Caenorhabditis elegans: one gene and its partner. The protein of the gene in region 1 interacts with the protein of each later gene in a pairwise test. Each region holds a gene or a part of one and is shown in the gene's direction. Other genes may lie near its edges. The genes, in order: repo-1 and prp-21.

What was found.
Region 2: the proteins of repo-1 (region 1) and prp-21 interact in a two-hybrid assay, tested with the Caenorhabditis elegans proteins (2 studies listed by BioGRID).

The regions. Positions count from the first base shown.
Region 1 is NC_003282.8:12,076,580-12,089,517, forward strand, and holds repo-1 (Splicing factor 3A subunit 2), read left to right. Parts: upstream 1-7,898; coding exon 7,899-8,455; intron 8,456-8,537; coding exon 8,538-8,649; 3' UTR 8,650-8,741; downstream 8,742-12,938. Other genes in the region: K08E4.7 (BTB domain-containing protein), read left to right, coding at 1-128, 195-335; tmed-1 (GOLD domain-containing protein), read right to left, coding at 761-1,003, 1,071-1,370, 1,420-1,581; lex-1 (Tat-binding homolog 7), read left to right, coding at 2,896-3,021, 3,068-3,201, 3,249-3,466, 3,509-5,579, 5,636-5,721, 5,780-5,926, 5,973-6,927, 7,299-7,437; rbm-34 (RRM domain-containing protein), read left to right, coding at 8,844-9,830, 9,881-9,981, 10,266-10,362; F11A10.6 (Transmembrane protein 115), read right to left, coding at 10,669-10,852, 10,905-11,209, 11,259-11,375, 11,432-11,710, 11,757-11,830, 12,332-12,443; Polycomb group RING finger protein 3 homolog mig-32, read right to left, coding at 12,896-12,938.
Region 2 is NC_003280.10:479,514-497,238, forward strand, and holds prp-21 (uncharacterized protein), read left to right. Parts: upstream 1-5,352; 5' UTR 5,353-5,355; coding exon 5,356-5,461; intron 5,462-5,591; coding exon 5,592-5,880; intron 5,881-5,966; coding exon 5,967-6,126; intron 6,127-6,348; coding exon 6,349-6,718; intron 6,719-7,499; coding exon 7,500-7,779; intron 7,780-8,254; coding exon 8,255-8,439; intron 8,440-8,904; coding exon 8,905-9,110; intron 9,111-9,368; exon of another isoform or gene 9,369-9,451; intron 9,452-9,966; coding exon 9,967-10,164; intron 10,165-10,592; coding exon 10,593-10,766; 3' UTR 10,767-10,890; downstream 10,891-17,725. Other genes in the region: gldi-1 (NLE domain-containing protein), read right to left, coding at 1,312-1,537, 1,891-2,153, 2,958-3,122, 3,406-3,589, 4,141-4,417, 4,461-4,536, 4,588-4,681, 4,729-4,865; sms-5 (Sphingomyelin synthase-related 2), read left to right, coding at 15,911-15,975, 16,025-16,139, 17,199-17,303, 17,600-17,725.

The DNA.
Region 1 (12,938 bases):
TACTTGCTGATTTATTCCTAATTGATTGTCTTATGTGCTGTTGTGAGAAAATTCTCATCAAAGCGGACTCGGTCAATTTGGCGAAAAAATTGATTTGGGCTGAACGATTTGCTTTGAATGAATTGATGGTGAGTAATTTTGAGTTTTTTGATTGAAAATTGTTTAGAAGAAATTCAATAAACACAAATTTTCAGGATCATTGTCTCGACGGTTTCAAGAAGATGCAAGATTTTGTGGAGTTCAGAAAGAATGAGTTCTATGCTGGAGTCTCCGATGATATCAAATCAACACTCTTGGATCGTGTCATGAAAATCAAAGGATATCGTTACTTGTAGTTTTATGTCTATTCGAATAAAGTTTTTATTAGTTGTATACAAAGCTTGACTTATTTTTTCCTGCAATATGCATAAAGTATGCATGAAATTCCCCATTGTTCACAAAAAGGTCCAGAATCTGTTTTCTCTCTTAATAATGCTTGTTCAACTTAAATACGAAGATCGAAACAATGAATGATAACAAGATTAATTATCAAAATGTTTCATATGGTAACGAGAAAAACATACTTGATAACAAAAAATCGATTGCAATGAATATAATCAAGCGCCCAACAAAAAATCTGGAAAATAGATAAAAACAAACCCATAACTTGATAAATTATGCACATTATTATTTGAGTTAAAATTATGACTTAGAAAAGGGATTCGGAGGGGAACAAAACATCGGTGATAAATAACAATAGATACTACAAAATTGGGAAAATTTAATCAAATTTTCCTTTTCGGAGAACTTTTCCAATTTTTGAGTTTTCTTCGAAAAGGGATCGAATCATGAAGACTTGAACTCCGGCGACACCGACCATCACGAGAGTGTGAACGACGCTCCAGAATGTGACACGATCAAAATTTGCGCTCATGACTGCGCGATCTCGGGCTTCATGAGCTCTGAGAAGAGCTTGATGATATTCCACTTTGTTTAGGTTATTCTTGATTCCATTTGCTCGTCGCTGAAAAACAGAAGCAATAAATAAGGCTTTTAAACAAGAAATACGTACGATTAAAATCTAAACTTACATGGAATTCATCAATGGTAACTCCAAGTTCATTCATTTTTGCAGAAAGATCAGAATCAGTACGTGCCATTGCAGATAAATCGGCTTCGTCGAGGTTGCCATGTGCATCAAACAAAAATATCTCGAAAAATACAACTTTTCGAGATTGATAACTGAATGAATTATCGAAGCAGACTTGATAATCTCCTGGTTGATTCAGTTCAATTCGATGGGATCCGTCGACTTTCAGCTGGTCCTGCTTCAGAATGTTCGCCCCGTGAAGTATCATGAAATTGATATTTAAGTCACCACCGTCGATTACCTGAAATCAAGATTTAAAATGCAGCAAATGGTTTAGAATTATAAAATACCTGATAATCAACTTCGAGGGTTTTGTGTTTTGCAAGATCCACAGGTTGAAAAAAGCACTGGAATTTTCCGGCAGGAACTTCGACTGTAAAATCGTACTCTCCACATAGAATAAATGGAGTGATGAGAAGAATTACAGTGATTATATTGGTGAATTCACCCATTGCTGAAATTAATTGATTTTAAGAGAAAGCCAACAAATTGACGATGCATTTTTGTAGTAAAGCTATTGAAAACGAGGCAATAACATATTTTCAAGACAATAATTTCAGAATTACAGCTTCGGAAAATTGTTTAATGCAATTATTTAATTCATTTATATCTTTAATTTTATAATAAATAAGATAAAAACAAAAAATTAACGAAAAACTCGCATAGTTTACGTGTAAATCTTCAGAGTTTGTCTGTGTCCAATAGAGCGCGATTACACCTATTTTTTTTCAAATCAGAATTTTTCTTTCACTGGCGTGATGGAAAGATAAATTACGATTAAAAACGTTCAATAGGTATAAATTTAATTTTTAGTATGTTTTGAAGTTATTTTCATAAGCTTTTAACGCAGAAAACACGACACCAAATAATTTCTGGGCCTGCTTTACAGGAACATTTTCAAAAATAACTCTTGGGTCTTGAAATGCTTACAGTAGTCTTCAGATTTCTTTTTTCCAGTTTTCATTTGTTTTGCGCATGCGTTTTTTGCGATAAATTGTTTAATTTCCTTCACAAATACATTATTTTTACATCCTTATACGTAGAAAACGACGGTATTTCAATTTAGGTAAAAATTTTCAGAGTTTACTGTGTGAAACATCTGAAAATTGATGCCACATGAAATCCTGAGTATCTTCTGTTCACAATTTATTGGTTTTAAACTTAAATATTGGTTTTGATCAGATTTTTTTCTAATTATTTCGAAATTCGGTTAGCCAACGATAGTGAGTAAATATTGTCAATTTCCACAATTTTCCTTTCGTCCATTTTTCTTCAAATTGATTTGATTATTGATTATTTTTCTTATAATTTTCTTGAATTTAAATTCCCCAGTCTATAGAAATTAATTTTAAACTAGTTCTCATTTTGTGTTTCCATAGAGCGCATTTACACTCTTCTCATGCACTTTTCCCCGCCTCGTGCCTGCCTCTCCCATCGCTCGCTCTCTCCAGCCATTCTCATTTCCACATTTACTTTTCACCCAACGATTTCATTTTCGAAAATGTTTTCTGTATAAAATGCATCCGATTTTTACAGTTTAGCTTTCGTTTTTCGTAATGGAAATATAGTAGTTTCGGTTTCATCGATTACTGCTTCATTCTGTACTCTCCCATAATTTTAAAACAAAAGCCGAATTCTTAGATTAAAACATCTACTTATTCCTCCACTATTATCTTTTCTCATCTCGATAAATTAAAATAAGAATTTTTACGTATCATTTTCACTTGTTACATTATCGATTTTTCGAAAATTTCAGCTTTTCAGAGATGCCTCGCTCAGACGGATTTTCTCCGCGCAAAAATTTGCGGAGATCTGCTCGAGATCACTCGCGTTCGTATGCGGGTCAGTGCAACGAGGATTTTGATGACATGTACGCACCATCAAGCAGAAGAGTGAGTTAATTCAAAACATATACATTTTTAAATTGACTATTTACAGAGAAGCAGCGGTGGTGTAGATGGAAATGGGTACACACGTTCCGGACGGAAAATTAATCACAATCGTTATTACGAAGAGGAATATCATGAGGCAATTAGCAGCGAGGAAGATGAAAGACGATATCGAACTCGAAGGTTTTTTGATAATTTTGACAAAAAATATTATAATTGTTAAAATTTAGAAGCTCGAATTCGATGACATACAGACAACAAGTAATGCAGGCGATAGATGAATCCAAGCGAAATCAAAAAGTGCCGCCTGCAAAACGAAAGCGGATATATTTGTCTGACGAGGAAGAGGAAGATTTTGCTGAAGCGGCGCACGTTGAGAACACAGTCCCCGAGCGTGCAACTCGACGTAGCACCAGAAGACGTTCATCAATGCACGAAGAACTTGGAGGTACACGAATCGCATAATTTCAAAAATATAAGCGAATTTCAGTTTCAGAACAGGAAGAGTCGCCGGTTCGCAGGACTCGCAAAGCCGCCAAGCGCCTTGGAAGTGAGCAACCAGAGGAAAATCTAGCAGCAGATGATCCGTTGCCAATGGAAGGAGGTGGCGAGATTGTGCTACCAATTGCTGAAATTGATGGAATGGCTGAACAAGAAAATGAGGACTTGATTGAGAAAATTGGAAGGGAAGAAGAGGAGGAAGGCGCTGAAGAAGATGAGCAAAGCGGTGAAAAAGATCCAGAAGAAGAAGAGGATGATAGCAGCAATGCAGAAAGTTCAGAGGAATCAACTGCTCCACGTCAATACAGTCTTCGCCGCCGTCAACCAGTTGTCCAGTTCAATGCATCAGAAGCTCGTGAAAATCGACGGGCTCGTCTTGAACATCATCGGGTTGCAAATCAAAACAGACATCACCGCAATCGAAATGGATCTCGTCGAAGACGAAGCGATTCGGATTCTGATAGTGATGATATGGTGCTTCCGAGACCTGATAAACGTCAATCGAGGCCTCATATGCATAACCGTGGAGAACGTGAACGTGGTCGATTTATGCCGATCAATATGACCGAAAAAGAATTGCAGTCTGCCCAACACATTCTGATGGATCGAATGAGAAAAACTGATGCTGGTCAAGGTGCAAGTGACATTGATCCAATGAGTGTTGATTCGTCGGTTGGTTTCGATCAAGTTGGAGGACTCGGTCATCATATTCAATCTCTCAAAGAAGTTGTCCTTTTCCCAATGCTTTATCCTGAAGTATTTGAAAAGTTCAGAATAAATCCGCCAAAAGGTGTCGTATTCTATGGGCCCCCAGGAACCGGAAAAACTCTTGTTGCACGTGCTCTTGCGAATGAATGCCGAAGAGGAGCCAACAAAGTTGCATTCTTTATGCGAAAAGGAGCTGATTGTTTGAGTAAATGGGTCGGAGAGTCTGAAAGACAACTTCGACTATTGTTTGATCAAGCATATGCCATGCGTCCATCAATTATCTTTTTTGATGAAATCGATGGTTTAGCTCCAGTTCGTTCTTCGAAACAAGATCAAATTCATGCGAGCATAGTGAGTACATTGTTAGCACTGATGGACGGATTAGATGGTCGAGGAGAAGTTGTTGTAATTGGAGCTACAAATCGATTAGATACTCTTGATCCAGCTCTACGAAGACCAGGACGTTTTGATAGGGAACTCCGTTTTTCCCTTCCTGATTTGAATGCCCGACGACAAATTTTAGATATTCACACTTCCAAATGGGAGGAAAACAAACCGATTCCGGAAACACTCGATGCTATTGCAGAGAGAACTAGTGGATATTGCGGTGCCGATTTGAAATTCTTGTGCACAGAAGCAGTTCTTATTGGATTGAGATCTCGATATCCTCATATCTACATGTGTTCTGAAAGGCTGAAACTCGACGTTGCCACCATTAAAATCACTTCTGAGCATTTTGGACATGCAATGCGGAGGATCACACCTGCTTCCAGACGAGATCTTACAATTCCATCGAGACCATTGGATGAACGAACTTCAATTTTACTTGGAGATACTGTGAGCAACTTGATTTCGTTGAGAATTCCACAAGGATATCGATGCGTGGAAAATGCAATGGCGACAGCTTCAAGCGAACTGGAACAAGTTGTTAGGGCATTGGAACCTAATCCAACCGTGCCTGCTATTCGTCTTCTTCTATGTGGATCTGAGCAACTCGCGGACGGTGGACAAACGTCTTACGTTCTTCCCGCCATTCTAGCAAAACTGGATCATCTACCGGTGTTCTCTCTTTCTGTTTCAAGTCTTTTAACAGATGGACGTCCAGAAGAAGCATTTTCAAATGCAATTCAGTCGGCAATGCGTGCATCAGCAACCGGCCCATGTATCATGCTTCTTCCATCAATCGATGAATGGATTAAAGTCATTCCTGTATCAGTTCAACATATGCTTATCACATGTCTGGAATCAATGACTGGTTTCACGCCGATTCTTTTCCTATCGACGCTTGACACTTCGTTTGAAGATGCGCCTGAATATGTCACGGAAATTTTCAGACATGCAAACTGTATCACGTGAGTATAACTAGAAATGTGTTTTCAGAACATTTTTAAAATATAATAATTTTCAGTTTGAATCCTTCCCGCCGAACAATTCGTCAAAAATATTTCGAGCACGTTATTGAGAAGATTAACACTCCACCAAAAGTATTTGATCGTAAGTCTCAACGAAATACAATTTTTTAAAAATTTTAAATCCTTTGTCCATATTTCAGCAACAGTCTATGAGATGCCTCTACCAGATGACGATTCTCCCGATTCGAAGCCTTCTAGAAAGCTCAATGATGACGAGACAAGAGAACTTTTGAAGATGTACACTGCTTTGCAGCGACAAATGAGATTATTCTTCAAAGAGAGGCTCAGTGAGTTTTAATATTCCGCATGCTCAACCTCATTGAATATTTTCAGCACGTCTTATGCGAGATCGTCGATTCGTTGAATTTGTCGAGCCCGTGGATCCGGATGAGGCTGAGGACTATTATGAGATTATCGAAACACCGATTTGTATGCAGGATATTATGGAAAAGCTGAATAATTGCGAATATAATCATGCGGACAAATTTGTTGCTGACTTGATATTGATTCAAACGAATGCTCTCGAATATAATCCGTCGACAACAAAAGACGGAAAACTGATTCGTCAAATGGCAAATACACTTCGAGATGCAATTGATGATCTGATCGAGTGTGAACTTGACGAATCGTTTGTCGAACGAATTGAAACAGTTTCACGAATGCTACAAGACGCTGGAGTAACTCCAACCTCTGATAAATTACTCACAGAAATTCCCAAAGGTTTTGCCCGAAAAAAGGCGTGGTCTATGACCAATTCACTTGCAAAAGAAATTGAGCAATGGACATCAGAGCGTGAAGCTGAAAATCAAAAAATGTTGAGCAAGCTTGGTGTAGCTGCTCCAACATTGGAACTCGTTGTTGTCCCTGTAGAAGATATGAAAAGTGAAGAAGGAACGAGCACATCAACTGATGGAGTTCCAGCTTCTGCTGGAAATAAAAAGAAATTGCTCAAAAAGAAGAAGGGTCAAAAGAAAAGCAAAACCGGCGAATCTGAAGAGCACGATGAAGATAGTACAGTTGAAGACGCAGGAGAAGATACAATTGTAGAAAATCTTGAAATCAAGAAAAATCAGGAAACTCCAAACAGTGAACATGATATCGAGATGAAAGATGCTTCTAAAGATTCTACACCTTCCGTGCAAATTTCGATTGCTGAGAAAGAATTGATAGTTTCGAAGCCAGCAACATGCGAGCTGATTCAGTGTTGTGTCGAAAAGTCGGAGGGTTGGTCAGTCAGCGAGTTGGAACGTTTGTCTTCTGTTCTATCACATACAATTGAACGATTCCGGTGAGTTATATGATTTTTTATTACCTCGCTGTTCTTTTTGTTTGAACTAAAAGGAAATGTTAAGGATTTTTGGAACGTTTTAAAACATAGAAAACATTTATTATGAAGGTTGTTTATATTTTTGAAAATTTCAAAAATTGATAATTTCGTTATTTTGAAAAAAAATTGAAATTTTCAATAATTTCCGGTTAATTGAAAAAATTTCAATTCAATTGAAAAAATGCTCGTAATTTTCTGTACATTTCTTCGGCTTTTCCGTGATTTTCCTATTTTGATATTTTCGATATTCTCTGAAAAATCCCGAAAAAATTGTAGTCACAATGTAGAATAAAATAAACAATATTTATTTTTAACAATTAAATATTATTCAGGGACGAATGGAACCGCGAAAATCTACCAGCCCAACTTACCCAAATTGTACGTGAATGGCAAACAGCTGACGATTCGAACAATACAATTGTTAATGGAACCCTCAACAAATCGAATGGAAATCTTGCCAATGGACACTAAATGATGTCCCATCCTCCTCTTCCAATCTACCTCCGTTTATCGATTTTATAATTTCAAACTGAAATCCGTTTTATCATAATTTCCACCAGTTTTCCTCTTGTCAAAAACCCCTTTGTGCGAAAGAAAACTTTCAAAATAAGTGCGGCTACCGTGATACTCACCTATTTTTCTTTGTCCATTTTTATTCAAATTAAATCTCTACCATAATTAATTCCCCTCCAATTTATTCGAGTGAGCATTGCCTGCCTCTCGGGTGTATTCACGTGCCCTTCTATTATTTCATTAATCTTTTCCATTATCTTTAACCTGGTCTTTCGAAAATGAGTAAATTGTGAATCATTCGATGTTTAATGCTAATACCTATTTTTGTTTTAATGATCCGTTTAACTTCGGATATTTATATATTTTCGATTTTATTTTAAATTTATAATATATTCAATCATCTAAACTTTTTCTTTCAGATGGACTTTCAGAACAGAGCTGGAGGAAAAACGGGAAGCGGAGGAGTGGCTTCGGCCGCCGATGCTGGTGTTGATCGACGGGAACGGCTCCGCCAGTTGGCTCTAGAGACAATTGATCTTCAAAAGGATCCGTATTTCATGCGAAATCACATTGGAACGTACGAATGCAAGCTGTGTCTTACTCTTCACAACAATGAAGGATCTTATTTGGCACATACACAAGGAAAGAAGCATCAAGCGAATCTTGCACGGCGTGCCGCTAAAGAACAATCTGAACAACCATTTCTACCAGCTCCACAGAAAGCTGCAGTTGAAACTAAAAAGTTTGTGAAAATCGGACGTCCTGGATACAAGGTAACAAAAGAACGTGATCCAGGAGCTGGCCAGCAAGCACTTCTCTTCCAAATTGATTATCCGGAGATTGCTGACGGTATTGCGCCACGTCATCGATTTATGTCTGCTTATGAGCAAAAGATTCAGCCTCCAGACAAGAGATGGCAATACCTCTTGTTTGCTGCTGAGCCGTATGAAACGATTGGATTCAAAATTCCATCAAGGTGAGGCTTTACAACATTTTAGCACTTTTCTATCTCATAGTTACGATTAAAAAAATTGTATATACCAAGTAATTTTTTCCAGAGAAGTTGACAAATCTGAAAAATTTTGGACGATGTGGAACAAAGACACGAAGCAATTCTTCTTACAAGTCGCATTCAAATTGGAACGACTCGATGATCAGCCGTACTATTGATACTCTATGTTTTTATCTTTTTGATTTCAAAATTCAAAACAATTTTTTCGTGTTTTTCGATGATCTAACAATAAATTATTTTCCTTTTTTTTAATGATGATATTTTATTTAAATCAAGTATAGGTTGACTGATCCGTCTACAATGTCTATTCAATTAAAATTATAGTTTTCATAGTTTAAAAAATCAGTTTCAGATGGCGAAGAAGGTTGTCAAAAGAAAAGCTGAAGCAGTGTCCGCTGACGCAGAAGCCGTTGCAGAAGCTCCGAAGAAAATCAAGAAGCAGAAACCAAGTCTTCCAGTCTCTGAACCTGATAATTATCAGGCTGGTGGATTATCAAGTCTCTTCGGAAAGTCGTCAGAAGGAGCAGCAGTACAAGAGGAAGTTGTGAAGGGAGATAAAGTAATTGAAAAACCTAAAAGAAGAAAGTATGATCCAAAAAAAAAGGCTGAAGAAGAGAAGGCAGCTGATGCTGCTGCTGCTGCTGAAGAAGTTGCACCTGAAACAGAAGGAGAAGAGAAAAAAGATGAAAATAAGGAAGGAAAGCGAGACAGAACGAAGCAAAGAGAGAATAGAACTCTTCAAAAGTCAAATGCACGTGCTTCAGCTGCTGAAAATGCTCTGACTGTTTTTGTTGGAAATATGCCATTGACAATGAACGAGAAATCAGTCCGTCGAATTTTCTCCGACTTTGGAACTATTTCCTCTGTCCGTATGAGAAATCTGCTTCCTGCGAATGAGAAATTGACGAAACGAGTCACTCATTTGACAGGAAAATTGAATGACAAACAGAGTTCTCTCACGTTCTATGTGAAATTCGGAGCAGAAGAATCAGTGGAGAAAGCTCTGAAGTACAATGGAACCAAGCTGGACGATCATGTGATTCGTGTTGACAAAGTTGGAAGTAAGAAGAAAGAATTTGGAAAGGATATGGCCATTTTTGTTGGAAACTTGCCGTTCGAGATTACCGAAGATGCTCTCATTACTTTTTTCTCTGCACAAATCGGACCTGTCGAGGCTGTCAGAATTGTCAGAGATAAAGATACTGGAAAGGGAAAAGGATTCGCGTTTGTCAATTTCAAACAAGATTCTTCTGTGAGTCTTGCATTGAGCATGGAGACTATCAAAATGGAAAAACGCGACTTGCGCATTACAAAAGTTATGAAGAAGGGACATTTGACGGTTTGTTTTTTTTCTTCGAATAGTTCTTCAATTTATAATTTGTTTTTCAGAAGATCCAAACTGCTAAAAAGCGAACATCTCACGGAAAGAAGAACCAGAATGAAATTACTGGAAAATTGCACAAGTTCAAGTTCTCCACCAAAAAAGAAAGGTTTGTAAATATGTGGCATTTTGTCAAAGGGCCCGCGCGCGCAATGTCATTGCCCGGTTCTTCTCTATTTAAATCGTTCAGCGTAGCGCAGTTGGGTGTGCGTTTGTACTCGAGGTCGGCGCCCACGAGTTCGACCCCCACTGCTTGCACGACTGCAACCTGCTTTCGGAACTTTACCGTCTGCGGTACTTGTAGTGCTATATGAGCGTGGGCCCTCCGTGTGCGTGTAATTTAATTGAACTAGCACTCCGTTGGTCACCGGATAATTTTGTTTTTCTTTTCAGAACAACTGAGCAAAATGATCGTCGTGCCTTGAAGAAGTCAGCGAAGAAAGCCATTGCAAAGAAGAAGGCTGCAAAGAAGGGACGTCTGATGGCATAGGTTTTTGAATATTTTGTTTTCATCTATAACTTTGTTGATTTGTTTTGTTTTGTTATTTTTATCACTATAAAAACAGTTTTTTAAATCTAATATTTTATTCATCAAACAAAAAACTATCACAGAGAAAAATACAATAAATGCAAAAATTACTCACAGAGAGGGAAGAAGGCAATAAATGAAAAACACCCATGAAGAACAAGGAAGCAAAATGAAGCGAAAGAAAACATAAACGAGAGTAGTCGAAACTAGAGATCCAAGAAATACATAATTAATGAATGTTAATAAAAAAGGAACCCAAAAATCTATTTATGCCATTGATTCTTTGTCCATGGCTGGTTTTGAAGAATGTACATTTGATACAGGGGGCGGAGCAACTACAGTAACCTCAGTCGGCTCATCATCGTCACCATCGTCCCAGTTTCCGTAGCTGGCAACTTCTGCTGTTCGAGTCTTGTTCAATCGATCGTTCAACTCTTTCAATGCTTTTTGTCTGAAAAAATTAGCATTTTAACTGGAACAAATCAAAGAAATCAAATATTTACCTCCGTCTCTCCGAGTCTTTTGCAGAATTCTCCAGCGCAGGCAAGTTGATTCCAACGGATCCTGATTGTAGAGAGTGAAGATCAACATGACGAACTTGTCGTTTGCAGACGCCCATTCGAGCAAGGGTTCTGAAGCAAACTTTTCCAATGAGAGTGAAGAAGAGTTGAGTGCGAGACGGGAAGAGGCTGGCCCACGTGAAGTGCTCACTGCCGTCTCCATAGATTTCGTCAGTTTCATGGGGTTTGTAGAAGCGAAGATAGGTCCAAGAAACTTGAACACCGATGGTGATTTGGAGAAATGACACCTAAATCAAGAAAAATTAAATTATTCCATTTGATTTTATAGAAACTTACAAAGTAAGTAAATTTGGTGAGAGCTAGAATAAATGAGACAAATATGGCCAAGAATGGAAGGTGAGCATATTTAATACGTCCAAGTGGTGTTGCCAGGACAATGGTGTCAGGAAGAAACTGAAAAGAGCCATTATTAAATATTCAGTTTCTTTCAGATTCATGTGTTTGCCCACCTGCTTCATGAGAACCATAACCGACGCACAAATCGGAGTCATACCAACAAGTGGTTCAATGTAGAAAAATTTGATAGAATCGAATAAAATGTAGGTGAGATATGCGAAGACTACGATGACAAAAGTGGTAACACCCTGAGTAATTGCATAAAGCTTCAGAAGAGACTCATTTGTATTGTTGAGACGGACGAGATTCGTTCCGAAATGAAGACACCAGACTGTCCACAGAACGTCGAGTACATTGTGACCGCAGAATGTGCTTGTCGCGATACGCCAAAGCTGGAAAAATGAAATTGTTTCTAATTCTGAAGATTTTGTTCTATACTTCAATTGAAGCAATTTGATAAGGGTGAAGCCATAAAAGAAGACGTGCAAAGTGAAGATATGAGATAATATAGCCTGGAAAATTGATTTTTTGTAACTCTATTAAATAATTATTTTACAAAAATGTCTAATTTTTGATGAGAATAATAAAAATAATAAAGTTTGGAGCCTTATTTCAGCTACGCGTCCAATTTTGCGATTTTGCAACAAAAAAACAATGCCCGGTCTCGACACGACAAATTTTATTAAAATGCGAAAAGGCGCGCACCTTTAAAGAGTACTGTAATTTCAAACTTTCATTGCTGCGGAATTTTTATCGATTTTTCACAGCGTTCCTCACAATTGGTTGAAATTTATTAGTTTTTTACCGTTTCATTCAAGATTTTTTAATAAATAAATATATTTTCATCGAAAAACCGATAAAAGTTCCGCAGCAACTAAAACTTTGAAATTACAGTACACTTCAAAGGCGCACACGCATTTTTATTTGCCGTGCTGAAACCAGATACGGTATTTTTGGCCCAAAAATCGCAAAATCTCACGTCTGGGTAATAATAATTATTGGCAAAAACTCACCAATAATTCGTAGCACAACAAGAAATCTGAACGGTAACGCATTATTCCGTAAGACGTCTGAATGCCGTTCCACGACGATTTGCAGATCGCCAAGCACAGCTTTCACTCCCATTTTGTCTGCAAATCCACTCGGCAATGTCTTTCAAAGGAATGGTGTAAACGCTGTGAGCTGGATTCGTCAAGTGCGCCCCACTGAGAACCTTTCTCTTTCACTCTCTCACTTACCAACACTATGTTATCGAAAAGCAGAACAAAATGTGGCTGGTGAAAACAGGAAATAAGCGGATATTTTGAAGGTGACGATAAAATCTCTCTCCAGAAGAAGAAACTTCACGTTTTTCAAATCGAAGAAATTTTAAACCAACAAAAAAATTTAATTAGACACGTGTTATTCATCTTGGGGTTTGGTTGTTTTTGAAAAAAAAATGCAGTTAATAAATATGAAAACATAGGAAATGAGACAAAATATAGAGATAGAGATACATGGTACAGTACTAAAACATGGTAAAACTGGGAATTTGTTCTTGAGAAGTTCAGAAGAAAGAAGAAATCGATAGAAGAAGATCATGTTCTCGTCATATGATATCGAATTATAAGTGGTTCAGAT
Region 2 (17,725 bases), on another chromosome or scaffold:
GGGCCTGACGGTTGCCGCTACTATTGGCGCGATTTGCGCAAGGAACCAATGGTTTTTTCGAGACGTAATTTTGGAGGAGGAACGGTGATGGTTTGGGGAGCGTTCACGGAGAAGAAGAAGCTTGAGATACAGTTCGTCAGTAGCAAGATGAACAGCACTGACTATCAGAACGTCTTGGAACTGGAGCTCTCCAAATATCTTCGTCACTACTCCAGAAAAGACTTTAGATTTCAGCAGGATAATGCGACAATCCATGTGAGCAACTCAACCCGCGACTATTTCAAGCTCAAGAAGATCAACCTTCTTGATTGGCCAGCTCGAAGTCCTGATCTCAATCCAATCGAAAATTTGTGGGGGATTCTTGTCCGTATCGTGTATGCTCAGAACAAGACTTACCCAACAGTTGCATCGTTGAAGCAAGGAATTCTCGACGCTTGGAAGTCTATTCCGGACAACCAGCTGAAAAGTTTGGTCAGATCAATGGAGGACAGACTGTTTGAGATCATCCGCACACAAGGAAACCCGATTAACTATTGATCCTTTCTTGATTTTAGTATATGAATGTTCTGTTGTTGATCAAAAATAACTGCAACTTGTTAATACGCTGTTTCTGACTGGTTTCTTGGGGATGGCGTAAAAATGTTTATGGTGTGTGTGCTAGGAATTTTAGTAGGAACTTGTTAAAGAGAGTTTATCAAGTTTTGGCATTACCGAGAGCACCAGGAAGCTTGAAACAGACTTGAACATCAAAGATCGGAAGAATCAGAACCAGTCTGGAGATCCCACGAGAACATTTCGTATTAATTTTTAAAGTCAAAACTGCTTATATGAACTCATTTCTAACTCAAACTTGATTTGAGCTTTGTCAAAAATTCCAAAATCTGTTGATTTTAGTAAAAATCGTGAAAAAAAACGGGGGGTCCTATAGAAGTTTCACACTGGATTTTGACGTTTTTTCCAGCGCGACCTCAGTTTTTGAGATAAACTTCTGGAAAAAAATGTATATAGGTTTTTTTCAATTTAAAAACGAATGGCATTAGCAGTTTTTCAAAAAAATTTTCGGAAGTTCCTCAAACCTTCAAATTAGGGGGGGTCCTATAGAACTTTCCCACACTGTAGTTTCAACCGAATCTCCGCCGAAACTTGACTAAAGTTATTGTTTTTGTGAGTCAAATTGTAGCTTATATTTTTAACTATAAACCTGGGAACAAACATAATTTTTTTATTGAAAATCAACAAAATAGAACAAAAACAAGAAAAAAAAACGATTTTTAAACGAACAAATAACAAAAAAGATGCAAGATTGGATAATTATTGTCTCCAGAGCTTCAAAACTTTGTCCTTTCCACCTGACACAACTTTCGTTCCCTCGGGGCTCCAATCAACAGTAAAAACTTCGTCTCCGTGGCCTGGAAGGTCGTAGTACAGACTTTTCGTCTTCAATTCGAACACTTTTAACGTGGAATCGGCGGATCCGGAGACGAGAAGACGACTGTCGGCAGACCATGCAACTTGATAGACTGGGCCAACGTGTCCTCTGAAAAATTGTAAATTTAAGGAAGTTTTCGGCTGAAAAATTATTTGACCCATTTTCAAGTGAGAATTCTCGAAAATCGTTCGAAATTTGTAGATTGTAGTCTAGCAGACCCAACCACTCGGGTCTGCTAAATCGAAATTTGTAGTTTGTAGTTCATTTTTAGTGCATAAAGGAGGAATTTTGCTGTACGAAATTTGTTTTCCTGTTTTAGGCTCAAAGTAGGTAATTCTGACTGAAAATTGTGTGTTTCGTGTTTTCCAATACTAAAAATGTCATTTTTGAAAGAAAAACTGCTATTTTAGATCATTTTAAGGAACTTTTCAGGGATTTCTCGGTAATTTCTGCATTTCTACCTCAAAGAAGCCAAATATTTTCCAGTTCTTCCACACCAGAGCTTCACTGATTTGTCGAATGAGGCGGAGGCGATATAACGTGTATCCGGTGAGAAAACGACTTGATTCACCAATTGCATGTGTCCGGTCATTCGATTAATCGATTGTTTCGTCTCTTTCGGGTTCCACATAAATAGTGTAAAATCGTCGGATCCGGAAACAAGACGTTCGCCGCCGGCAATTTCCAGAGCTGCTTCATACCGAGTTTGAGCCACTTTTTGACACTGAAAAATCCAATTTTGATGTTTTTTGATTGGAAGATTGTGAATTTTGGAGGTTTTAGCCCTAGCAATTGTTAAGTTTCCAGTTTGCTTGTACCGATCGAAAACTTGAGCATGGCGTCCGCGTACCCGGTGACAAATGTGCTCTATTGCACAATTTGTTGGTTGGAATACGTTATTTATTGCATGTTTCAGCAGAGAATACCGATAGTCATACCATCAATTTGGATAGAAGCACACAAGTCACAAAAGTTTATTTTAAACGGCTCCACAAGCTACAGTAATCCTTTTTTGGCATTTTTCAGATCGAAAAAATTCAAAGTTCGAAAGGGGAAATTCAATTTACAGTGTATTTTCGTGAAATCGCTGAAAACTATATAGAAACTGCTGCGTTTAAATAGAAACAACAATCTGCTAAGGGTAAAATTCGAAATTTTGGAAAAATCTGACCAAAAGTACTTTTTTGGCATATTCTGAATAGGAAATTAAAATTTTTAGGTTTCTATGCATAAATACAGTTTAGCGAAATTTGTTATTTGGAACTTTGCCGCATGAAAACCTAAAGATGTAGACTAGTCAAAATCGAAATGAAATTTCAAATTTTCAGACTTTCAAGTAGGAAACAGAAATTGTCCAGAGAAAAAAAGAAGAAAACCTCCAAAATATAAAAAATTACAATTTTTCTTGTTTTTAGAGTAGGAAATTGATGTTTCCAGTAGAAAAGTTCTAGAAATTTTAAAATTAAAGGTTTTTAATGGAAAAAAAACGGAAAACTCCAAATTTTCAGATTTTAATCCAATTTTCTACCTCCTCCACAGTATCCGGCTTAATACAACGCTTGCTGGGCTCGAAGCACGAGGTTCTCAACGCATAATCTGTATTCAGTGCCAAAGTGTTAATCCAGTGAGCGTGTCCGGTCATGTTTCGGCACATTACTCCATCGTCGGCTCTCCACATTTTTACGGTTCGGTCCTGAAAATTTTTTTTATTGTGAAGGAGTCTGGCTTGAAATTTATGTTTTAAAAAAATTCGAAATTAGGAGAATAAATTGATTACGGTAGGTTTTATGCGATTTTCATGGTTTTCGAACTATTTTTTAAATATGCGCGAGTTTAAGTTAATTCGGATTCGTTTGTGATCATTCGGTGTTTAAAATCAGTTTGCGCATTTCAAAGTGACATCCCCGTCGTTGAATTTTCAACGTTTTTAAAAAATATTTTCAAGATTTTTCACAACTTTTCCTGCAAAAAGTTACCTGAGATCCGGAATAAATAAGTCCTTCGCCTCCCCAACGCAGACAGGTGACCGAAGCAGTGTGTCCACTCAAACAGCGAACTACAGTACCCTGTACGGTATCCCAAATGAAAATATTTCCGTCTTTTCCACAAGAAGCCAGAAGCCTGCACGTCGGGTCTTTGTGCATCGGTTGCCATGCCAAACTGCAAAAATTTTATTATAAAAATTCGATTTGAAATGGAAATGTTTAGTTTTTATGTTGAAAAATTAATTTTTGGCTAATATTTGAGAGAAAAACTCGGGTTTTCTGAAGCTTTCTGTTAAAAATCACATTTTTCCACTATGGATGATAAGTAAACTCATAGAAAATATTAAAAATTCGATTTAAAATACCCAAATTATTGGAATTCGAAATGGGTCTGCTAGACTACAAATTACAAATTTCGATTTAGCAGACCCAAGTGGTTTTGAAGAAGTTTGGGTCTGCTAGACTACAAACTACAACTTTCGATTTAGCAGACCCAAGTGATTTTGAAGTGATTGGGTCTGCTAGACTACAAACTAGAAATTTCGATTTAGCAAACCCAAATAATAGTGATTTTCAAAAGGGTTTCAGTAAAAATACATCGTTTCAGTGGGGTTTTAATGGAAATTTTAAGAGAACATTGTAGTGATAAATACAATTTTACGGCGATTTTTTGTAGAAAACCCAAATTTTCAAGACATTTCAGTGATAAATGCGATTTTCCTGCACCTCGTGATCCATTGCTTGTGCCTTTTGAGCGTTTTTCCGATTTGCTCTCCGGTTTTCGCGTTCCAAATGCAAATTTCTCCGTTTTTGCAAGCCGAAGCGATTTTCGTAGCATCCGGTGACCAGGCGATGCAGAGAACCCAACTTTTATGGGATTTACACGTGTGGAGAGGCAACTCGAGCTCAATATCCCAGATTCGCATTGTTTGATCGCCGGAGCCCGACGCTAGACCACGTCCGTCAGGGCTGAACTGAGCAGAGATTACTGGCTCTCCGTGACCTGAAAAATATATTTAAATGCGTCAAAACGATCAAAAAATTACCTGGAATGCTAGCGGAGCATCTGGTAACTGGTCTCACACGGAACACTGCTTGTGGCTGATAAACAAGCTTTAATGTCTGAAATTTTAAATTTTTTAAAAAGTTTTCTATCTTCTTTCAAGGGCTTACAGTCTCAAAATCAATTTCCTCTAACGATTTTCGAATGGAATCGACAATTTCAGCGCCTTCTGTGGTGAAGAAGGAAATCGGCACAGGATCGTCACTGAAAACTCAGGATGAGATACAGAAAATTCATTATTCAAACAAAACCTGCTCCCGAGAAGCTGATTACACAAAATTTGCAGCTCATTCGTGGAGATGTCCACTGGAACAAGGATTCCCGATCCTCCGAGCTCGTTTTCGTCCTCTGACACGAAGCTGACCGAGATTTGTGGACTTTCAGTCATTTTGTTACCTGAAACCGTTTGAGTTTTAATTATTTTGAAAGTTATAACAAGGGAAATCGTTGAAATTGAACTGGAAATCGAAGAAATTCGTTAAGAAATTGCGCTAAATAAATTATTTTTCTCAGTGGAGCGAAGAAAGAAATACAGTGGAAAAAGTTAGGCCATCACTTTTTAGCATTCATTTGTATAGAGAAAACTGTAAATTTTTTACAGATTGTTATGTTTTTACACAATATAAAACATTTTTAACGTAACAGCAGTAAAAACTATGTCGAAAACAATAAAGAATAGATAAAAACCTACCGGGAAAATTTGAATTTGGTCATGGTCGAGTTCTGTAGTGGCCTAGTAACCTCCACTTAATATTCGAAAACGTTTATTTTTCAGTTTATTGCTTTATTTCTCTATTTTTAATTAAATTATTAATTTTCCTGAATTTTTTGCGAAATTTACGAATTTTCAAATTATTTATCTTATAAATTTGCAGAAAATGACTGCAGTTGTCTCAAACCGCGAGGAGGACTCGATGAACAACGAGCCCTCGTTGTCAGGGCGTGCGATTATTGGATTAATCTACCCGCCGCCGGATATTCGCAGTAAGTTTTATAGTTTAAACCAAAAATAAAACAGTTCTGCATGGTTTTGGAAAGATTTCACGCGGAATTCCGCAAAAACTAGGGCAAATCGATATTTTCCAAAAATAAGCAATACATTTTCAATTTTCAGCAATCGTCGACAAAACCGCCCGTTTCGCTGCAAAAAATGGAGTGGACTTTGAGAATAAAATCCGCGAAAAGGAGGCGAAAAACCCGAAATTCAACTTTCTCTCCATCACAGACCCATACCATGCCTACTACAAAAAGATGGTCTACGATTTCTCAGAAGGCCGAGTTGAGGCTCCGAAAGTACCGCAAGCAGTGAAAGAGCACGTGAAAAAGGCTGAATTTGTGCCTTCAGCTCCACCGCCGGCCTACGAGTTCTCAGCGGATCCATCCACGATTAACGCCTATGATTTGTAAGTTTTTTAGAACTTCTAGAACTAAAATTAGATGAAAAAGCTATTTTTAACCTAAAATGAAGTGAAAACCTTATAAATTGCAGAGATTTGATCCGACTCGTTGCTCTGTTCGTTGCACGAAATGGCCGTCAATTTCTGACTCAATTGATGACACGAGAAGCCAGAAATTATCAATTCGACTTTTTGAAACCGGCTCATTGCAACTTTACATACTTCACAAAGCTCGTTGATCAATATCAGAAGGTAAAAATCAAGAAAATCTGCGTATTTCTAAGAATTTTTAAAAAAATCTAGATTTTTCGGTTGAAAACTCAAAAAAAATCCAGCTTTTTCGGTAGAAAACTCAAAAAAAAAACATTTTGATAACTTTTTCACTATTTTCAGTTTAAAGATGGCGGAAAAGTGAGCTTTATAACTTTTATTTGAAATTTTTAAGCTAAAAGTTGCTAAAATATCAGTTTTCAGGTTCTGGTGCCCTCTACCAACGTAGTTGCCCAACTCCAAGACGATGCTACCAACAAAAAACGTCTCATAGAAGATATCAATTATCGTGTATCCTGGGAAAAACATCAAAAAGGTCTAAAAGATCGCGAGGAGGCAGAAGCCGAGAAAGAGCGTCAAGCCTATGCATCAATCGATTGGCATGACTTTGTAGTTGTTCAGACTGTAGATTTCCAGCCAGGAGATACTTCTCAGCTTCCACCACTATGCACACCAAAGGACGTTGGAGCCCGTATTCTTTTGGAAGCGAGAAATGAAATGCAAAAGGCGGCGGCTGAAATGCAGGAAATGGATATGGAAGAGAGTGATTCCGATGACGAAGATGCCGTTCAAGGTGCTTTTTTGGAGCATTTTACGTTGAAAATAGACAAAATTCACTTTTTTCCGGTTTTTTCCAACAGTTTTACTTTTAAAATAGATGGAAAACAATGGCAAACTATGAAAACGCTGAAATTCAAATTTAAGTGCTTCCAACCTGGAATATTTAAAATTTTTAGGCGAATTCACATTTTATTTCGTAGAAAACGAACAAAAATCGCAATTTTGAGTTAAAAAGTAAGATTTTTTGGGTCTGCTAAATCAAAACTTGTAGTTTGTAGTCTAGCAGACCCATTCTCTTCCAAATCACTTGGGTCTGCTAAATCGAAATGTGTAGTTTGTAGTCTTGCAGACCCAAGCTCTTCAAAACAACTTGGGTCTGCTAAATCGAAATGTGTAGTTTGTAGTCTAGCAGACCCATTCTCTGTAGAAACTACTTGGGTCTGCTAAATCGAGTTTGTAGTTTGTAGTCAAGCAGACCCAATTTCTTCCAATTCACTTGGGTCTGCTAAATCGAAAGTTGTAGTTCGTAGTCTAGCAGACCCAAAAAAATCAATTTTTTTTTATTAGCTTTGGCAAATTTTAACTCGGAAAACTAATGAATTTTTGGGACATGTGAGTTTCTATCCAAATTGATGGTATGAATATCGATATTCTCGGCTGAAAGTGCAAAAACTACCGTATTCTGACCAACAATTATTGGAATAGAGCACACGTGTCACCCGAAATACGAAAAGTATTTTTTTTTAATTTTTCAAATTTTTAAATTAAAAATGAGTATATTTATATATTTTCAGCACCAGAAGCCCCTGCATTCACTGCTCCGCTGCCACCTACAAAACAGAAAGACGTGATTGTTCGAGATTACGATCCGAAGAGAAATGTGACCCAAAAGCCAAAAGCTGTGGAGAACTGGATCATTTCACCGCTCACCGGAGAGCGTATTCCATCGGATAAGCTCGCCGAGCACGTCAGATACAATACTGTCGATTCACAGTATAAAGAGGACAGAGATCGTCATATTGGAGAAAGAAGCACGGAGGAGCCCGTATTGGCTCTTGGAGCTGATATTTCTAGGTTAACATTTCAGAAATTTCTTTGAAAAACGAACAAAAGTCTAAAAATCGCCACAATAATCTACAAAAAATCGATTTTTCGTGGAAATTTTGTTCATTTCCGCATTTTTCGCTCGAAATTTGAGATCAGTGCTTCAAATTAGACCTGGAAAGATTCTAGCTCAATTTCAGAAAATTTGGGTTATCGTAGCACCAGAAGTACTCAAACACTGACTACAGCACACCTAAGCACCAAATTTCACGACAGTGGTGAATTTTGAGCTAAAATCGATTTTCAGGAGTAAATTAGAGTGCTAAATCTAAAATTGGAATAAAAATGTCTTAAAAATTGTAAAAAGTGAAAATTAAAGATTTTCAGACAAATTTCCGATTACAAATGCCCACAAAAGATGTTCAAAGCTGAAAATTATAGATTTTCAGACGAATTTTCATTTTTCCACGTGCCAATATCACTAAACCCCAGTTTTTTCTTTCAGAAATCTTGGCAATTTCGCTGAACGTCGTACGGATATCTTCGGTGTCGGCGGAGAGCAGACTATGATCGGAAAGAAGCTCGGCGAAGAGGACAATTCGCAACAAGGGCAGAACAAACTGATTTGGGATGGAACTGAAGAGACTCGGGATATGATTACCCGAGCTGTACAGAATAAAGTCACTTTGGGTACGGGAAATCTAATTTTTTGGCGAAAATTTTGAGTTTTCCGGGATTTTGTTTGGGAAAATTACACGATTTGTGTGGTTTTCTATGTAGAAATTTCTCTAAAACACTCAAATGTTTCAAAAATTCGAGTTTTCATGAAAAACCAGTAATTCAAAAAAAAAGCAATTTCCTCTAACAAAAACCGTGCCAAGTTTTGGATTTATGATATTTTCCATCTGAAAAAAATCTGGTATCTCGGCTGAAACGGGCAATATATACCGTAGTCCAAGTTTTCCCAAAAATTCCAACCAACAATTTGTGCAATAAAGCACAGTTGCCACCGGAGATGCAAAAGCTATGTTTAATTTTCCAATTTTTGGCTGAAAATTGAGCTAAAAATTTACAATTTTCCCGTCATAAAACTCACCGAAATTTCGCTTTTCAGTGTTTTTTATGCAAAAAAATTAATCATTTTTCATTTTTCAGACCAACAAATCAACGAAATCCACCGTCAACACGGATTCGTTGCCGATCCATCAAAGGAAAAGATTGGAGCTCAGCAGGTGCCACGTCATCAATCGACCCAGGGAAATGTGACAATTACTCAAGGAATAACGAATATTCCTGGACAAATGCCATCCGGATGGCCGCCGGTTCCACCAATGGGAATGCCTGGGATGCCGAATCAAGCGGTATGGGATTTTTGAGTTGAAAAATCTCCAAAAAAAAATTCGTTTTTTCATGTAAAATCCTGGAAAAATCGGATATTTCGACAAAAATTGTCAATTTTTGGACCAATTCTCTTTGTATTGCAAAAACGAATCGAAAAATCCCAAATTAAACATGAAAACTAACATTTTCAATTTGGGTCTGCTAAATCGAGTTTGTAGTTTGTAGCCAAGCAGACCCAATTTATTCCAATTCACTTGGGTCTGCTAAATCGAAAGTTGTAGTTCGTAGTCTAGCAGACCCATTCGCTTCACAACAACTTGGGTCTGCTAAATCGAGTTTGTAGTTTGTAGTCAAGCAGACCCAATCTCTTCAAAATCCCTTGGGTCTGCTAAATCGAAAGTTGTAGTTTGTAGTCTAGCAGACCCAATCTCTTCAAAATCCCTTGGGTCTGCTAAATCGAGTTTGTAGTTTGTAGTCAAGCAGACCCATTTTAAAATTAGTTAAAATTGGTTAAAAATCGCGAATTTTTGCTGATTTCAGAGAGATATTGTATTTCTTTCGAAAAATATAAAGAAGTGGTTTTTTGTGTATTTCTGTTTAAAAAAAAATAAGAAAAAGCTACACCAGGTTAGCTGAAACTATATTTTTGTTGAAAAATAGTGAAAACGCCACCAAAAGTTATCTTTAACCGCGTAATTAGACGATTTTTCGGCGGAATTAACTGGAAACTGTGTTAAGATTAAAATTACTGAAATTTCCACAAAATTAAATTTTTTTAAATGTAAATTTCATCTCAAACGGACACAGAAATTCCCATTTTCACTGGAAATTCTCATGAAAAGCTCCAATAAAATGCATAAAGCTCTATAATTCCAGCTTCCTCCAATCCGACAAATGGACTTTGGCGGTGGACCTCCAGCGAAGCGTCCTCGTACCGAAGATGATTTGATACCAGAAGCTGATTGGCTTAAAAAGGTCAACGGAGCAATTTCGCTTAATGTTCATCTTCCACAGGCTCCCGAACACGGAATGGATGGCTCAATTGTGCAGTTTACAATTCAAGTTACTGCACCGGTGAGTTTTAGATAAGAAAATTGTTTTTTTCCCCTGAACGAATTTTTTCACCTTTATTTATTTATTTATTTATTTATTCGCTTTTAAACCATTTGAATAGTAAGTTGATAATAAACATAAAGAATAGGTAAGAGGCGAACAAATATAAGATGACCGATTGGACAAAGGTCCGTGGCCAAATGAGGGTGGGGGTATGAAAGACTTATTTACAGAAGCTTTGATGGGGGAAAAAAAACTATAAGTGAGATCACATCATAGTGTCAAGGGGCAGGGAACAAATACGTTTGGTAAACGTTTCGGCTGACACTGGTTTACTGAACAACTTGGCAAGAGAGTTCCAAAAAGATAGGTATTTATGCAAAAATATTTGTTTGTTGAATGGCCCATTGGGAACCACCTGATGCCCAATTAATTCATAATTTTTGCAGATGTCCGAACTCAAACAACAAATCCAGGATCGTTACGGAATGCCTGTTGGAAAGCAGAAGCTGATGTCTGATGGCCTTTTCGTGAAGGATAATATGAGCTCGGCCTTCTACAATTTGGCAGATCGGACGGCGATTTATCTGCAAGTGAAGGAGCGTGGAGGAAAAAAGAAGTGATGAGCTATCGATTATTTATTACTCTTATTAATATTTATTTTCTTTCAAACTTTATTCTAAAATTGGACGCCAATTTTAATTCTTCAAATCTCAACTTTTCTTCCAATAAATTTGTAAAAAAACCGTTCTGTAAATTTGGAGTGGAAAATCTAAAAGTTCAGACATGGCTATACAAAATTCAGATTCAGCATGTCAAATTACCCCGGGACACTTTTTCTCCGGCTTTTAGCCTTAAATTTCAGAAAATTGGGTTACTGTAGCACCAAAAATACGCAAACATCGACTACAGTACCCCAAAACACCAAATCTTACTACACTGAAGAGTTTTGGGCTGAAAATTGATGTTTAGGGGTAAACTGGAGTGCTGAAATCAAAAATTAATATGAAAATTCTAAAAAATCGATATGAAAATCTTAAAGTCCGGCATTTTCAGACAAATTCTTGATTTTTCTTGGTTCAAATAATAAATTCGAATTTTTTTGTTTATTTTGTTCAGATATCCAGATTTTTTAAATTTTACTTGTTACAGGACATTTTCAGAACAAAAAATACTAGAAAAACAGAAAAAAATTGCGTTTTCAGTAAAAACAAAACATTTTTTGCACAATCTGAAAATTGTTCGATTGCACCCTAAAAATTGCACTATGTTTTCCAAATTTCTTACATGTGTTTTTGTTTTTTCCCCCACCTAACATAACATTTTAAGAGTTTTTGAAAAAATTTTCGAAAAAAAATTTAACAAAAAATTTTTTTTCACTTTTTTTTTCCGAATTTCTTTTTTTTCCCAGAAACATCTTGTACCCCATATTTCATTACAGTAGTACTTGTAGTCAGTCTGTCTGTGCATCTGTTTGTCCACCAAAATCAGCAGTTCCCGCCACCTAAAAATAGTTCCCAACAAGTAAGTTCAGCGTCAAAACTGGTATCAAAACTCCCCTTCTTACCACAAAGTAATGTTCTATTTGACATTTCGGAATAAGAAGTTTGCTCCCATTGTTCAAATAAACTGTATGTGTGCTCCGCGGAGCACACAAACGAAAAAAATTGCCACTGGGAGAGGGGAGCTCAGGGGGTGGAGCACTTTGGCACAAATGAGCACACTTTTTCCTCATTTTTCCGATTTCAAGAGCCTCATATGACTGATGCTGCAGTGTTTAGCTGATTCTTCAAATTTTTTGAAAATTTCGCGGAAAAATGTTTTTTTTGGAAAATTTTTTGGATTCAATTTTTTTTTTCGCCAAAATATTTTTTTCTCAAAATTTTTCTAGTTTTCACAAACCTAGTTGGTAATTTATTTGGTCACTTTGAAACACGATTATCATTTTTTAAAAAGTTTAAAAAAATTTTCAAATCCCCGGTAACCTCCATTAAAATTTCACTTAAAAAATTCGATAAAATTTTTTTCCCAAAGTTTTCAAAAAAATTATTTCATCCAATTTTTCCTTTCACGTGAGCTCCCCAGTACGAAATCTATTGAGCGTATGACTGATTTTTGTTGCTTTCAATCTTTTGTTAGGGGTTTTGGAAATTTTGGAAATTAAAATTTTTTATTGGAAAATTTTAAAAAATTTGATTTTTTGGGTGAAAAGTTGAGTGAACTTTTAGGATTTTGGGTTTAAATTTGTTTTATTATTGAGTAATTGGAATTTTACTTTAATTCATTTCTTTGAAATTAAAAAAAATATCGAAAAAAATGTGAGGAAAAAAAATTGAAAATTATCTTAATTTTTCGCTGAAAATGTTAAACTTCCGATAAAAAATTCAAATGCTGCCTATGAAATTACCCCTTTTCTGCTTTGCCCCCGGTTCTAGCTCGAAAATCAAAATTTTGGGTGTAGCCTCAAAAGTACGCAAACACAAACTACAGTATCCCAAAGCACCTAATTTCACGCCGTTGGCGAATTTTTAGCTGAAAATTGATTTCTCGAGGTAAAATAGGGTGTGCTGAAACTAAAAATTGCAATGAAAATTTCAAAAAATTAGTTGAAAATAGAAAAATTCAAGGTTGTCCGTTCCAAAAAGTTTGAAAAATTTCCAAAATTGTTCGACAAAAAGCACACACTGTTCCTTATACTATTCGTCATATATTTTTTCTGAATCACTATATTTTTGATCTGAAAATTTGTTCGAAAATAAAAAAAATACTTGGAAAACTACATAAGAAATCATTCAAACTTTCAGAAACTTAATATTGGAAAAAAAATTAAAAAAATTTTTTTTTCGTAAAATTTTTTTAAACTCTATTTTGTTCTTACAAATTTTCAGTGATTTTCTCTACTTTTTTTTTGAAATTTTCTAATTAAAAATTTATGTGTTCTATGCTGCAATTTCCGTAACCATGGAGCTCTGTAAAAAACACATTACCCCATTCCCCTTATATAATTTTTTCTGCAAAAATCCAATTATTTTTCTCCAATTTTTACAATTTTTAATATTTTTTGTGATCATAGTACCAAAATGATCAGATCCCAAAAAGTGCATAAAAAATTTTTTTTTTTTAAAAGTGAGAATTACCTATTTTTATGTCAATTTTTATGACACTTGTGACATTGTTTTTATGGAATGACTTTTGTTTGAAATCATTATTTGAAAAATATATTTTGTATTGATTGAGCTGAGAAAATTTTAGTTTGAACAGAAAATTTTGAAAAAAATGTTTTTTTCACAAAATGTTTTTCCAGAAAATTTTTTTAAACTCAAAGTTAAAATTGTTCAGTTTTTTTTTCACATAAAAGGGAGTTTTGTTTTTGTTTTTTTTATTTTAAAAAATAAACGAGAATTTTAAGATTTCAAATTCAAGAGGAAAAAAAAGAAACTTCAAAAAAATTCTTTAAAACTTTTTTTGAGTTGAAAAAAAATCTATTAAATTTTCAAAAACTTGCTCAGAAAAAATCATAAATGAATTTTAATTAATTATTCTTACTATTCAAAAAAACCGGTGAAAATTAAAAAAAAAGTTCAGATTTGAAAATCTTTCTAAAATTTATAGCGAAATCTCCATCTGAAAGTTTTCTATTTTTACAAAAAATTGAATTCCACGTATATTTGAGGCATATTTTATCAAATATAATAATTTTTTTGATATTGAGTTTGATTTGAAAAAAATTAATTGAAATTTTTAAAATCTTTTAATTTCAAATAAAAACATTTCGAAAAAAAGTTTGCAATTATTTCCTAATTTTTTTTGCGAAATTTTCTTGAAAATCATTTCATTTTTTACTTTAAGCACACTATTTTCAGCCAAATGAAACACATTTTCTAGCCTCAAATCACGTTTGGCATTTTCAATTGAGCAGTGAGCATAAAGCACAGAAATTTAGTTAAGAAACAGTTTTTGTTGTTATAAAACCGCAAAAATTGTGTTTAATAGTGATTGATAATACCACAAAATATCTCAATACATGAAAGTTCAAATCGCTAAAAAAAAATTGCGTCAATTTCGGGCGGAGTTTCAGGTGGCTAGAAGCTGACAACTAGAATAGAGGAATATTTTTGGTTTAGGATGTAGAAAAAAAAATTCCTGAAGTTAAACATTTTTTAGATTTTGTTTTAAATAGGAAAATAGCTACTTTTATCGGAAAAAACATTAGTTTTCAAAAAAAAATTGATTAAAAAATGTTTAAATCAATTTTTTCCAAATTATTATTTTTTCAAAATTTAAAATTGTTTTAATGAAAAATAGTTACATTTGTATTAGTTTTTTATTGTTAGGTGAGCTGAAAGGTTTTATTTTCAGGAAAAACATTTATTTTTTTAAACAAAATGTTTTAAATTTAATAATTAATATGTTATTTCATGACCTCATGTTTTTGTGAAATTTAACTATTATTATTATTTTAATTCATTTAAATTAAAATGTATACGCTTAGGTGAAACATTATCTGGAAACTAATAAAACATTTTAAAAATTTCGGAAATTTTTGCATTAAATTTTTTTTCAGAATCAATTTCTCGGTTTTCATATTATTTATTTCGTTGGCCACTCATATTTTATGTAGGCTGACCACACATACATTATTCAAAAATCAAACATGTGTTAAGAATTAAGTAATTTCGGTGCTCCTAGAAATATTGAAAATTTTATTGTTTTTCGGAGTGTGCCTAGCACGACGAGTTTGCTGGATTTGCCGAGTTTGCCGAGCTCGGCAAAAATTGGAAAAATAGATTTGTTGAAGAGCTCGGCTAATTTTGAAATCTGTCTCAAACCCCTGGTACCACAGATGATTCGCAGTGTGAAAATTATGCATGCTACACTCAAATTTCACTTATTTTTCACATTGCGAATAGCCGGATCGCGATGTGTAAATCATGTGAAAATTATGGGAAATTTTTTTTCGCGATGTTGAAAATATGTATAGACAATTCGTCGAATTTTGCGGTGTGTACATAATTTTAAAATAATTTTATTGGTTCAAGGTGCCTACATAACTTCACACGCGCGAACACAAATTTTACACATTTTTTCAAAATTTTGTTGGAAATTTTCTTTTTCAAAATTTGCAAAATTTTACTTTTAACAATTGAAATTATATTTCAATTTAAAAAAAACGCATTTTTTAATCAAGATCTACCAATTTCTATCGCAAATCACCTGCCAAATTTCTCAATTTTGTTGCCATTTTTTTCTTCAAAAACGTCATGTTTGATCTGAAAATCTGAAAAAATGTTCTTAGTTTTTTTCTTGCTTATATTTTTTTTTGGTGCTGATGTATAAATGGCGGAGCACATTTTGTGCTCCATAGCAACATTTGTGCGGAATTTTATGTGCTTGCCAACCTTTAAAATGTTTTTTTTCTTGTATAGCTTTCTTTGGTTTTGAAATTTTGGGAATTTTTATTTATTTTTTAAAGAAAAAACAATTTTGAAAAAACAATTAATTTTAAAATCATTTTATTCTGTTCTAAATGTAAAAAAGAAAGATTGAATTTTTTAGAAATATATAATTTTTGTTACAAATGTTTTCTCAATGTTAAATTTTTCATAGTGTTAAAAATTAGAAAAAAAGACAAAACTTTGTGAAAAAAAATGTTCAAAAAAAATTTTTTTTTTCAAGATTAAAAGAAAATTGTTATGTTTCACTATCTTTTTTCCGTTTTTTTTTCTCTATTTTCAGCCAGAATTCCTTCAAAACACCAAATTTTCAGATGAAAAAAGACGCCGAAAACGAGAACCTGCTTCACGCCTACGAACACGATGAGCAGAGCTCAAAGTACTCAGTTTTAAAAAAAATTTCCTTCAAAATTATACAAAATTTTCAGATATTTTATTAAACCCGACTCTAGATACTCAATAGACGATGATATTTCTGTGAAAATTGATGGAAAACAGCTGGAAGTTAGGAAATGGCCTACGCTTTTGGCTACTGCTATGGTGGTAAGTTTGGGAAAAATTAGGAGTTTTAAAAGTTTAAAATAATAAAACAAATAAATTAATGATTTGTTTGTCAAGTTCAAATGTAAAACTTTAAAAAATTATTTACTGATAATTTTACCTGATAATTTTGATAAAATATTTTCAAACTCGAAATCCTCATCTTTTTTTACCCATACTTATTTTTTCTAGGTTTCTAGTTAATCATTCAAAAATTCTGGGTTACTGTAGCTTCATAAGTACGCAAACACCGACGCACACCAGATCTCACGACGAAATGCAGAAAACTCTGAAAAATCCGATTCTGGGGTAATTTTTGACGTAGAGTTTATTGAAGCTATCCAAAAATTTGTAAAAATCAGTTTTAACCTACGAAATCACTAAAATTTCGTAACAATTATTTTTATTTTTCCCAAAAATTGTTACCTTGAATATTTCCGGTTTGATAGTTGAACATGATCTCTTATCAGAGGTCTGCGGTTTTCACAATTTATTTTTTATCAAATTTTTTTCAATTTCTATTGCATTTCACAACACCACACAATAAGTGTGCCTAGTCCTTAAAGTATATTAAGTTTTAAAATAACATTTTTAACGAGGGGAAAAACTTGTGGTTTCTGAAATTGAAAATTAAAATATTTCAAGTAGTTTAATTTTAAAAATCAGAAAAAAAACCCCATTCTTTGTACATTTTGTCGAAAATGGTGCTTTCAAACTTTTTTTTAGAAAATAAAATAAATGCGTTAGTTTTGGATAATTCTAGTTTCTAAAAAACAGTTTCAGCACCTTAAATTACACCTAAACTCAGGTTTTTTGCCCCTTTTGTGCATTTTGTCGTAAATTTCCGTGTGTGTGTGTGTGTGTGTGTGTGTGTGTGTGTCGGTGTTTGCGTACTTATGAAGCTACAGTAACCCGGTAAATTCAAAAAACTAGCTGGGGACCCGGAAAAAAAATATTAAAGGTAAAATGATACACTGAGTTCTATTTTAATACTTCTATTTTTGTAAAATATAGAATTCAAGGTGAAAACTCTGAAGATTTCCGAAAATTAAAATTTTCTAGGGCGTCGGTTGGCTATCAAATGAGGTTGCATTGGCTTGGGTACACGAACGAGTTCCAGATGATTATCACCCATTACCCGACCTTTTCTTCTCACATTTTCCAGAGGTAAAAGAGCGTTTGAAAATTTTTGGAATTTTGGGAAAATTTGAAAAATCTGAAAAAAAAACTTCAGAATTTTCTTCACCGGTTTGTGATTTTTTTTTCTTCACATATTTGAAAATATTGAGCTTCAGTTTCAGTTTTTTAGATTTTTTAAAAATTCATGAGAACGTTTTTAATTTTCAACGAAACTTTCAAAATTCACAAAAACTATATAAAATTTTTGAAAAATTAAATCAAAAAAAATTTAATAAATTTTTTGTTGTCAAATTTGAAAAAATTAAAAATAAATAAATTTTCAGATCCGCGGAGCAATTCGGATAGCTGAATACATAATGATGATTCTTTTAATAAGTGCTCTTTTAGTAATGTTTACCCATCAGCACCGATGGATAGTTATTCGACGTGTATTTTTTTGTATTGCAATG